Danio rerio: one gene and its partners. The protein of the gene in region 1 purifies or fractionates together with the protein of each later gene. This does not show direct contact. Links are inferred from orthologs where the notes say so. Each region holds a gene or a part of one and is shown in the gene's direction. Other genes may lie near its edges.

Region 1 (3,659 bases):
AAGCTAAAAGATCTAAAGTTCTATTGGATTGAGTTGGTTTAATCCTGTGAGGAATTTATTTTGTTCAGTTTATTCTTTTGAAGCGGCTATTAACAATTCTTATTCAAATACAGTTTTAGCAAAAATAAATAGTAAACCACTAATATAATCTGTGCATTGCATTAAGCACAAAAATACAGTATAAGAAAAAGAATTATGGAGCTTTACAACGGTTAACCCTCTGACTATAGAGTACATATATACTATTAATATAGTAACTTCTATAAATAGTTGACCACACATACACATAATTGAGACTTTACATTACATAAATGCTGAACCTTATTTTGTGGATTTTGATGGGTTGTGACAGTGAAAAATTATGTTGAAATTTCAGCTTTTTATCATAGGATAAGGTTATATTAAAATTGTGATTTATGAAAGTGGTATAAAAATGTAAAAAGAAAAAAGTATAGTTGTTAAAAAGTGAATAAACAGTACAAACTGTGTCTTCTGAGAACTTTAACAAAGTTCATACAAAATATTCTGAAGCCAGTTATATGCTGTATGGAGTTTCATTCAGTGTCAAAAATATGATTTTTAGTTAAAGGTGCCCTGTACTGCATTGATTCAGTAAGATAAGTTTTTTTTTCTGTGATATCTAAATAATAGGGAAGTGCCCTAATTAAGTTAAGTTTAAAAAAAAAAAAAACTTTAGAAATGGTTTTATATGCTCATTTACTACTCCACAAAATGCCCCAAAAATCAGAAGCTCTATATTGACCATGCATGTTTGGAATGGTCGCTATCTGACACAGGTCTCAGGCCCCGTTTACACTAATACCTTTTAGTTTTAAAACAGTGTTTTAGAATGAAAATGATCCGCGTCCACACTAGCATTTTACCCAGCGTTTCTGAACAGCTCTTAGTCTATACTACACCGCTGTAAATGCACATCACGTGACCACACACACACTCTGGCATGCATTGCAGCGTGCTTTGAGCACATTACCCATATATGAGCTGTGCGCGTCAGACTGTTCATCAAGAATCTACTGCGGGAGCTAATCTTACTATATTTGTTAACGTGATATTTAATTAATCTTGTTGTCTATATCTAACCACATATTCCCAGACTTTGGACTTTTAAATCTATTACTTTTTATAATAGTCATAATTAATAATTAAACTTATTTTGAGCAAAAGAGAGGGTATATATCGTATTTTCAATAAAAAATGAAAGGAGGCAGTTAAGTTATAGGAACCATTTTGTTATAAATATGCATACAGTGAAAATGACGCTTATATAAATATGCTGCTACACAACGCCTCAACATTTTTGGTGTCTGTTTAGTTAATATTAAAATAAAAATAGGCAGTTCTTCATTTCAGGTTTTCATTTTATTGTTGAGAAAGTGAAACAACATAGCCGGGGTGATATGAATGAGGTTATAGAGTACACGTTTCCCTTTGAAGATTTACCCGACGTGTCCTCAGGAGTTTTTGATGTTTTCCATATCAAACTTTTGAAGTCTGAACTTACAAGGAGATGATGCAAGACTGAACTGTGTGTAAGCTACTCTATATACTGTCCAAACCGTATATCATATTGCCCTCACCCCACCCCTAAACCCAACCATCAGGAGACTGTGTGCAGCTTTACTCTCTGATTAAACTCATTCTGTAGGATTCATAAGCATTTTGAGAAATGAGGATGTCACCAATGTCCTCATATTTCACCTCCTTTTTGCAATACCTGTGTCATACCCATGTCATTATATAGATTTTTGTCCTGATATGTCACAAAAACACGTACAGACACACACACAAACACACACACAAACACACACACACACACACACACACACACACACACACACACACACACACACACACACACAGTGTGATGAACTGAAATTAAAATATTTGGTTTGTCAAAAAATATTTTAACAAACAATTTAAAAAGACTTATAAGGAGTGAGTGAGCTATCAAATATAAACCCATTAGAGTAAATCATTTTGATCCTGAGTTGTGTTGTAGGTAATAGCCGGTTAAGTAAACTTTTAAAGAGTGTTTTTGACTGCTTAATAACATGACAATTCTTATGTAAAACAAAATGGCCTTGAATACAAAAATGTATACAGATTATGGTTGTATTATAAGTGTATAGGTTTAATGTATACCAGTAATTAGTATGTATTAAATGTATTTCAGAAACTGCACTTGGAGCTCTGGCTCGCGTACTGAGAGAGGACTGGAAACACAGTGTGGAGTTAGCAACTACCATCATCTATGTATTTTTCTGCTTCTCAAGGTACACAATTTCTTTACAGTTTATTGCTCTTGACAACAGCCTTGCTGTTTTTTTTGTTTTTGTGGTGCTTTAACAGGGCAGCTTGCTGATGAATGCAGATTAAAAGTACTGTCAGCACTGTGAACTCTCTGAGAAGTTATGTCTCTAAATTCAACAGTTTTAAAACATAATTTCTACAACCAACAAAACAACTTCAAACTATATTTTGATTGTTTATGAGGACTTTGTGCAGTAATAATTCACAGACATGTGCTGATTCAAAACACACTAGAACGATAGGATTGTGTGACACTGAAGTAAACATGCTTAAATTTCAGTTTTCTTATATATTTTAAATAAATGCCAGGAAAGTTATATTTTAAAGGGATAGTTCTCTCAAAACGATTTTTTTTTTGTTCTGCTGAAAGATATTTAAAGATAGCTAGAAACTTCCTTTAAAATTTCTGGCCATCGTAACAAACCTGTAACCATTGACTTCCATTATAAATGTTTTTCCTACTATGGATGTCAATGGCAATAGGTTTCCAACATTCTTCAAAATATCTTCATTTGTGTTCAACAAAACAAAAAAAAACTAACTGCTTTGGAACAAGTCAATTGTAAATAATTCATGGCAGAATTTTCATTTTTGTGTGAACTATTTAAATTACTATACTATTCATGACAATATTTGTATTCACAGTTGTATTTTATTTTAAATAAATAAAAAATAAATGCAGCCCTGATCAGTAAAAAAAAAGCCTTCTTTAAAAACAAAACAAAAAATCTTTTGAACATTATTGAAGTGAGAGAATTACACAGCATATTGTATTTCAGAGCAGTAGTGCGATTTCTCTATTTAGCATTTTTCTTTCTTGTAATCATTCTCTTTTATAAGCCTTAAAGAAACCCGTCATACAGTACATTCTCAAAACATCTTTAGTGGCCGCAGATCAGGTTACTGCTTTTCTGAGATAGCTGTCAGCATTTATTCGAGCAATGCAAGTGTGCCTTCTGATTTGAAGGTTTTCCTTGGCCCTCACCATCAGATGGCTAATGTGGAAATTTCTTTCCGCGAGCGAGAATGACTTTGACGTTTGAAGGATGTATTTGAAATGTATGATGAGTTGTTTGGTCTGATCTTTCAGCTCTGTTTATTCACTAATCAGAACTAGAGTATGAAATTCATCTGGCACGTCAGACTCTGCATACTGGCCGTCGTCTAGATTGTATCTCTGAATGTGCCAGGAGAGGTCGAAGGAGGACAGGCCATCATGACTTTGTCTTTCCTGCAGTTTTTCTCAATTCCATGGGCTCATTACACATTATAAGATCGGAGCGCTGTGTATGAACGTCATCGAACATGAGCTGAAGAAATATGACCTG
Region 2 (3,659 bases), on another chromosome or scaffold:
GTAGACGCGCGCGCGTCTATCATTAAGTTGAGCGGCCACGCGCCCTCTCTGTGATAACAGCTCACAGCCAGCAGCTCACGTCACGTGTGATTTCCCGGCCGCGAAAACATCATTATATGAAGTCAAAAATTACATTTTTAGGTGAATTATACCTTATAAATACATTATGTGACTCGTTCAACATTATTTAGAGGTGTCAGTGTCACTGAGCAACGTATGTGAAACAATAAACAGACCCGTGCAGCCGCCTTTTTTTCTCTCCTGAACTTGAAAATATGATTGACAGAATCGTAGAAATGCTGGATTAAGATCGTTAGAGGGTCGAATCGAGATCGCGATCTTTTAACGATTAATTTTGCAGCTCTAATCCAGCCTTATAAATGGTTATCCACGTTTTGCCAGATTCCAAGCTTTGACTGGCTTCTATGATTCTGTTCATGTTTTATGCATCGTACAAATCACAAGGCCCCTGTATATGATCTGTCGTATTATATCTTGGTAAAATGACATTATGAAAACCGCTTCTGTATGTGATCAGATGTATTATTAGAGTCTAGCTGTATTCTCTGGAGTCATTGATAGTAGGACAGCTCTCATGGCAGATCTCCAACCTCCTTGTTAAAATTCATCCATACGTGAATGAATTTGACCTCGTTTAGCTGGAGTTTACAAAGCGAATGCCTTGCCTATTCCTATGAAGAGCCTCATTTTATCATGTCCTGTTTGTTTTTGTGCCTTTCCTACAGCTCTTTTCCAAGCTTCAGTCTGTAAAGTCAGAGATTCAGGATGCCCAGGATGAGCACGTGAAATACAGACAGGAACTGGAACAGACTCAGAATGAACTGACCAGAGAACTTAAACTCAAGTATGTGAACCCATAAAACTCTTATTATTAGCATTATAGCAATATTTTACATTATGTACAATGGATATTCACTTTTATTTAGTTTCAGTGGTCAGTGTTTCAATGTGGAAGCTGAATTTTAAAAAGTAACATCTAAAACGTTTTGACCTAATTGAGTCTCGCTGATGAGACAAACTGCTTGGAAATCTGGACTCAGCTCTACTACATTACAGATGTCAAGAGTTTAATACACATACAGGCTGAGAACACTGTGGGTGGCCGGAGAGGGAGAGTATCTATTAAGAGGAAGATGTATCTGGCAGGCTGCTTTTGAGTGCAGTTGGCAGAATGAAATTTGGGTTAATGTTCAAGATAAGGAAAGATACATTTTTTGCTACAAGTTGTTTTGTCTACAATTCTCTCTCTGCCAAGATTGTGTTAGTTACATGTGGGTTTATACAACTTGTATACAATTTATAAGAACAACTTCATTTTCAAAAAATATGCAATATACACACACATTCTTAGTGAGGACATTACGTGGACCTTCATTGTTTTTTATATCAGGTTAAAGTTACTGTCTCTGGCCTAACTTCCCCTAATCCCAACCTTCACAGAAACACATGCCAATTTTCAAGCATATTTTGAAATTATTTTATGTAACATAAAATTTAGTTTATTCTGCAAACTACTGATGACATTTCCAATTAAACAATAAAAATACCATAAAATAAACAGAACAAACGAACAAAAAGGTGCCATTTTAAAACTTCTTTATATTGATTTTTAAATGACACAATCCCAGTGTTTTATCATAAATAGTTTAGTATTTCACATTAATATTTTGTGGAATCAGTGAATAGACTTCTATTTATATAGCCCTTATAGTATTTCACATTAATATTAATTCACTGTTTATAATAATATAGATATTATTAATATAATATTATTCACCATTCACTATTAATATTTTCACTATTTATATAGCCTTTAGTATTTCAGTAAATAGACTTCTATTTATATAGCCCTTATAGTATTTCACATTAATATTAATTCGCTATTTATATTAACATTAATATTATTAATATAATATTATTCACTATTCACTATTAATATTTTTACTATTTATATAGCCCTTATAGTATTTCACATTAATATTAATTCAATATTTATATTAACATTAATATTATTAATATAATATTATTCACCATTCACTATTAATATTTTCACTATTTATATAGCCTTTAGTATTTCAGTAAATAGACTTCTATTTATATAGCCCTTATAGTATTTCACATTAATATTAATTCACTATTTATATTAATATTGATATTATTAATATAATATTATTCACCATTCACTATTAATATTTTCACTATTTATATAGCCTTTAGTATTTCAGTAAATAGACTTCTATTTATATAGCCCTTATAGTATTTCACATTAATATTAATTCACTATTTATATTAACATTAATATTATTAATATAATATTATTCACTATTCACTATTAATATTTTCACTATTTATATAGCCTTTAGTATTCCACATTAATATTTGTGGAATCAGTGAATAGACTTCTATTTATATAGCCCACAACACTCAAGGTGCACAAATCCCTTTCTAATTAGAGCAAAATAAAAACCCCAGAAATAAATATATAAAAGTTATTAATTTTTGTTCTAAATGATAATTATAAAGTTAGAAATATAAAAGATAGTAAAGAACATGATACACCAAAAAGTTGCAACATTGAGTCTTAAAAAGTCATTTCAAATGTAGTTCTTTTATGGCCTGTTTCCACTGAGTGGTACGGTACGGTTCGGTCCACTTTAATGGCCGTTTTCACCTTTAAAAGGTACCAGAAAGCGAATCGTACCATAACATCTAGCACAACAAAAGGGTACCAAAAGGCAGAGTGAGACAGCAGCTGAACGCTATTTGTTTACAGAGAGACGTCACTAGCTCATTCACAAGACAGGAGAATGAAAACAATGGAAGCACCATTATTAAATACACAGCCAAGACATTACAACGTAACAATTTATACATATAATGATGAGCCATGGTCGACCCGAGTTCAAACAAAACCTTGTCGTCATTTTGATGAACAGCCATAAAGCCAAGAAGAGCAGAACCTGTGTGTGTTGTTGTGTACGAGGTCGTCTAAAGCGCCAGTGGGTTCACTTTCTCTGCAGAGCTTGCGATCGCTCGCCGCTCGTGTATATTTGAAATAACGAACTTTTTGAGTTGATGATAATAAAATGTGCATGATTATTGAAGTGCTTCTGAGATTCTTTCAAAAACGGATAAACGAGAGTGATGCGCAAAAAAACGAAGAAGAAGTCGGAAAAACAAAGGAGCAAATGATTCTTTCAGCAACCTAAAACATGAACAAACTGCCATGTTTAACTATTATCATCGCCTTTTGGACTATTATAAACTGGGAATGACGGAATTACTCTCTAGCAGAGCTTATATGTGCTGGTGAAGAATCAGCACACAGTTGAGAGGTTTGCTCTGGCTGGGCTATATGTTGTTTTTGAACCCAAAAAAGGACTAAATGTATGCTGTGTGTAGTTTTTCTGTATTTGGTAACAAATCAGAGACTGTAAGGGGCTGTGTGTGTTCATATATGTTGCATTTATGTATTTTATTTTAAATAATTGCAGATATTACAGTAGGCTGTTTATTAGGTTATTATTGATCTGCAGATATAATCAAATCATGTTCATATAAAGGTTAGTAATGAACATTTATACACAAGTATTTATGTGTATAAAGCATCTGGTTTGTGAGAAGTGCTCCTCATATAA
Region 3 (4,339 bases), on another chromosome or scaffold:
TTTAACACGGTGACACTCTTAAATCAAAAATAAAAGATCCAAATTTAGCTGTACACACTAAGCATAATCAGTTGTGGTTTAAAAAAAAAAGAGCATAGTGGAATGTATAGATTTTTCTTTTAACACCCCACCACTGTGCATTGAAACAACGGCCATCCAGTTATGGGGCTGTCCTTGTCTTTTTTGAGAATGTTGAAATCACAGTGTCAACAAAAATCTTAAAAAGAATATGTCCTGTGGTAAGGCATTGCAGAGAAAATGGGATTCAATAGCAAACTTCAAGTACAAATGAAGTGTGCCATTTGAGATCGGGCCAATATCATTCCACTGTGTCTTTATCATTATAGTCATGTCGATTCTCAAAATTGTCCTGAGAGAATGTTGTTGTATAGTTTTAGGACAACATTGGTGGTGCAATGTTTTGATCCAATTCAGACAACTATTGCACTTTAATACAACAGTTATTGTTCATGATGTGAATGGGCCTTTACATAAGATTGTCTTTTACGCACAAATTCCTGATGTCTCAAAACAGTAAAAGTGGAAATGTTTTGTTGTGTGAAACATCATAGCAAATACAGTATATCCTGACAACTGTATTCTATAACTTTCCTGTTTTCAGTTCCTATTTTATTTCATTTTTTATTTTGGAATTTTGGGAAAGTTATTACTCTAAACCTAAACTAATAAAAAGCAACAAAACACATTTCAGAATCCACTCTGTTTATTAACATTAATGTGTGTGTGTGTGTGTGTGTGTAAGCCTATACAACAGAATCACGCTGAGGAAATTATTTCTTTTTAGTGCATTGATCCACTGATTAATATTAACGAGGCATACCAGAAACATTTGTCTCTGAAATAATAACATAAATACAGTGGGGAAAAAAGGATTTTATCAAAAAAAAAAATCTTAAATGGACTGATGGTTGATTCCTGTGAATTGTTCTGTAGAGGAATGTGCCATTCATTCATACTCATTTGGTGACGTCATTTGATGGAGTAGAAGCTGACAGTGATCAAGGATGCAATTTATCATCGATTTTTATGATTTTATGCTTTGTTTTGTAGGATTTGTTTGAAGGAGGACAAGCTTAAGTTAGACCCTGTTACGTTTTTTTTATTAGTGAACATGTATATGTTTTTGAAAGAATGTCTCTATTAATAATAACTAATTTATAGATGGGAAAAAGATAAAGCATTAAACTACCAATATCTTTAATAAATCACAAAACAAATTGTTAACATGTATATATGTTAAGAGGGAAAACGTATCAATAACATCAAAACAACACAAATGGTGTACGTGGATAAATAGAAGGGCGCCGTATTAAATTCATTTTTTATCTGCATCAGATATGAAATGAGAGACTTAAATTCAATAAGAAAAAATGAAAGAGGTTAAACGTGGATAAACACAAATATGTATATCCCGAGGTGAAGTCAGGATCGCGGATATCCGCGCATGTCCAGTTACAGAGGGCAGGTTGGGATGGGCGCTTGAGCTGGAAAAATACATCATCCACCCGAATGAGCTCATCGGTTATCATTTCAAACACACAAAAAAACGTTTATTTGGGTCTCAAAAAAGGCTCACAAACCCGCGTCTGATAATGCCGGTAAGACTGTCATTTCTTATCTTCATTTATCATTATAATATGTGTTGTTATGCCCCACCTTCCCGTCATTCCTTTGCTTGCAACCGGAATTTCATGCAAATATTCACAGACTGTTATTTGACAGGCTTTTATGCCTTGCGTTTTACTACTATTGTTCCGTTTTATGATGCGTTTAATTGTTACGAGATGATTTTGTTCTTCCAATGGCCAGAAAGGTTTTGTGCACCTCAAGCTAGCAGCCTGCTAACGTTAACGTTAGTTATTAGCTTCGCCGCAAGCTCGTGGGCTTTAACGATATTTAAATTTATCAACGAGCCAGATTTACTTTTAGACTCATTTGAAATTGATTCAGGCAAGATTACTACAGCCCACAAGCTGTGTTATCTGTGAAAAAATGAACGTGTTTTTTTGTTGTCTGTTAAATTAGCTGTTAGCAGGCCGGGCGGTCTAACCCGCTGCTTAGCAACAGCTTTGAATCCACATCACCTATTTAATACACAAACAGCCAGTGACCTTTATTGTACAAGAGAACCCATATAGCTTATATGTTACAGTCTATGCTTACAACAAATGTAATAATTATAAATCTCTTCTTTCAACGAGCATGATCAATTGTAATGATACATTTAAATTAATTTTCTTTAAATGAAATAACATTTTGTCATCCTAAATTACACTCAAATATTAATTTGACACTTTTATTATGAAGGTTAACGACTTACTTAAAACTTACTTAAAAACTTACTTGCTGTAGCATATTCTTCCATTACATTATTTTTGTGAACAGGAGAAAACGTCATAATTGTCATACAAAATAGAAAGAAATAAAGTGAATATTATATTTCATAATCATAATTCTGACTATTCAGAAAGACAGACTTTTAAACTTAATTTTATGGCAGCAGCAAACTTCTACACACAGCTAGGGAGAAACATTTAGCGTAAATAAGTAATCTATATAGGCGACGTGATGGCGCAGTAGGTAGTGCTGTTGCCTCACAGCAAGAAGGTTCGAGCTCCGGCTGGGTCAGTTGGCGTTTCTGTGTGGAGTTTGCATGTTCTCCCTGTGTTCGCGTGGGTTTCCTCAGGGTGGTCAGGTTTCCTCCACAGTCCAAAGACATGCGCTACAGGTGAATTGGGTAGGCTAAATTGTTCGAGTGTGTATGGATGTTTCCCAGAGATGGGTTGCGGCTGGAAGGGCACCCCCTGCATAAAAACGTGCTAGATAATTTGGCGGTTCATTCCGCTGTGGCGACATCAGTACTATAAAGGGACTAAGCTGAAAAGAAAATGAATGAATTTGGATTTTTATTTATGGCCTGCTTACATATTGCTGACAAACAGATCATGTGTTTTTTGCAGAGCAATAAGCTGGACAAACCAGAGAAGCTGGAGGTGAGTGATAATGTGAAAGTGGTGGTGAGATGTCGTCCACTCAATGAGAAGGAGAAGATAATGGGACACAAGCAGTCCGTAACTGTGGACGAGATCAGAGGAACCATCACTGTGAACAAACTTGATATAAGCAGTGAGCCTCCAAAGACGTTCACCTTCGACACAGTGTTCGGCCCAGACAGTAAACAGCTGGATGTGTATAATTTAACAGCACGGCCCATCATAGACTCCGTATTAGAGGGTTACAATGGTAAGTAAAACCGTTTTGTCTGTTTGTCTGATCTTGCAGATAACAAATGTTTTGGTACATGTTTTGTAAATGTTGTACAACTTTTTTTTTAGGAAAGTCTTGCCATTTGCTATTTGTCTCAATTAAGTTGTAGTTATAATGCAGAATCAGATATTTAACAAGAAATAGTAAAATTGCACAAGCGATATACTGTAAGGGGTTTAAAGATTTGATGTTGCTCTGTAAAAAATGTGAGGCCTCTTATATCTGCTAATCAAAAAAACTTCTCATTCTGTTGTTTGTGCATTCACTTATTGTGCACAAAGTCAAGTAAGGCTGGGCCGATAAACGATATTATATCAAACCGCTCTAAAGTTTTTGTCAGTAATGATGTACTCTGACCTTTTTTACTCTATATTGATCTAAGAGCCAATCACACAGCAGAAATGTTCAACAATGGGAATCTAAAAGTGTGCTGATATAAGAGATGTACTAAATTTTCGGCCACCGATCTGAAAATATGCTATGTCATTTAATGGATCCTCTAATTTTTGTGGCTTCAGCGATTGTTGGGCTACTCTTTTAAATCTGGAAGCTTTAATAGCTTCTATTGAAATGTACAGTATCGTTATCGTTCAATATGGACAATAGTTACTGAGACTTTTCACATTGTAGAGCTTGAAATGTTAATAACATTAACATAATTAAATAAATCTATTCCTGATGGACGTAAAAGTAAAGATGCAATTTTTTCCCTCTGTCTTACATATGCAGCATGTATATACCTGTAGATGTTCTGTCTTTCAAAGTAGTACAACAAAGTAATTTGATTAGTTGTACTACTTAGAAATGAAATATGGTTACAGTTTGTTTCACTGTACATATGAGCGCAACCAGAAGAAAACATCAGAAATCTCCTGTTGTTCATCACTCTTATGAAATATCCTAATTAATTCAGATTTAAATGTTCTAGTCATTGAAAAAGATACAATCACATCATCAATATTATAGAGCGGAGATGAATGAGCGAAGAACTCAATCTTAAAGGTCCCGTGAAGTGCTTTAAAATGTGCATTATGTGCAACTGAAAAATTAA

The links.
Region 2: the proteins of kifap3b (region 1) and kif3b purify together in Homo sapiens (co-immunoprecipitation; 7 studies listed by BioGRID and IntAct, counting the BioPlex papers as one, with this or other methods). This does not show direct contact. The link is inferred for Danio rerio from reciprocal best matches to the Homo sapiens genes KIFAP3 and KIF3B.
Region 3: the proteins of kifap3b (region 1) and kif3a purify together in Homo sapiens (co-immunoprecipitation; 9 studies listed by BioGRID and IntAct, counting the BioPlex papers as one, with this or other methods). This does not show direct contact. The link is inferred for Danio rerio from reciprocal best matches to the Homo sapiens genes KIFAP3 and KIF3A.

What each region holds. Positions count from the first base shown.
Region 1 is NC_133177.1:26,558,857-26,562,515, forward strand, and holds part of kifap3b (kinesin-associated protein 3b), read left to right. Parts: intron 1-2,194; coding exon 2,195-2,294; intron 2,295-3,568; coding exon 3,569-3,659. UniProt on the Homo sapiens protein: Involved in tethering the chromosomes to the spindle pole and in chromosome movement. Binds to the tail domain of the KIF3A/KIF3B heterodimer to form a heterotrimeric KIF3 complex and may regulate the membrane binding of this complex.
Region 2 is NC_133198.1:7,795,781-7,799,439, forward strand, and holds part of kif3b (kinesin-like protein KIF3B), read left to right. Parts: intron 1-746; coding exon 747-865; intron 866-3,659. UniProt on the Homo sapiens protein: Microtubule-based molecular motor that transport intracellular cargos, such as vesicles, organelles and protein complexes. Uses ATP hydrolysis to generate force to bind and move along the microtubule. Plays a role in cilia formation.
Region 3 is NC_133189.1:28,240,045-28,244,383, forward strand, and holds the start of kif3a (kinesin-like protein KIF3A), read left to right. Parts: upstream 1-1,475; 5' UTR 1,476-1,613; coding exon 1,614-1,619; intron 1,620-2,981; coding exon 2,982-3,264; intron 3,265-4,339. UniProt on the Homo sapiens protein: Microtubule-based anterograde translocator for membranous organelles. Plus end-directed microtubule sliding activity in vitro. Plays a role in primary cilia formation. Plays a role in centriole cohesion and subdistal appendage organization and function.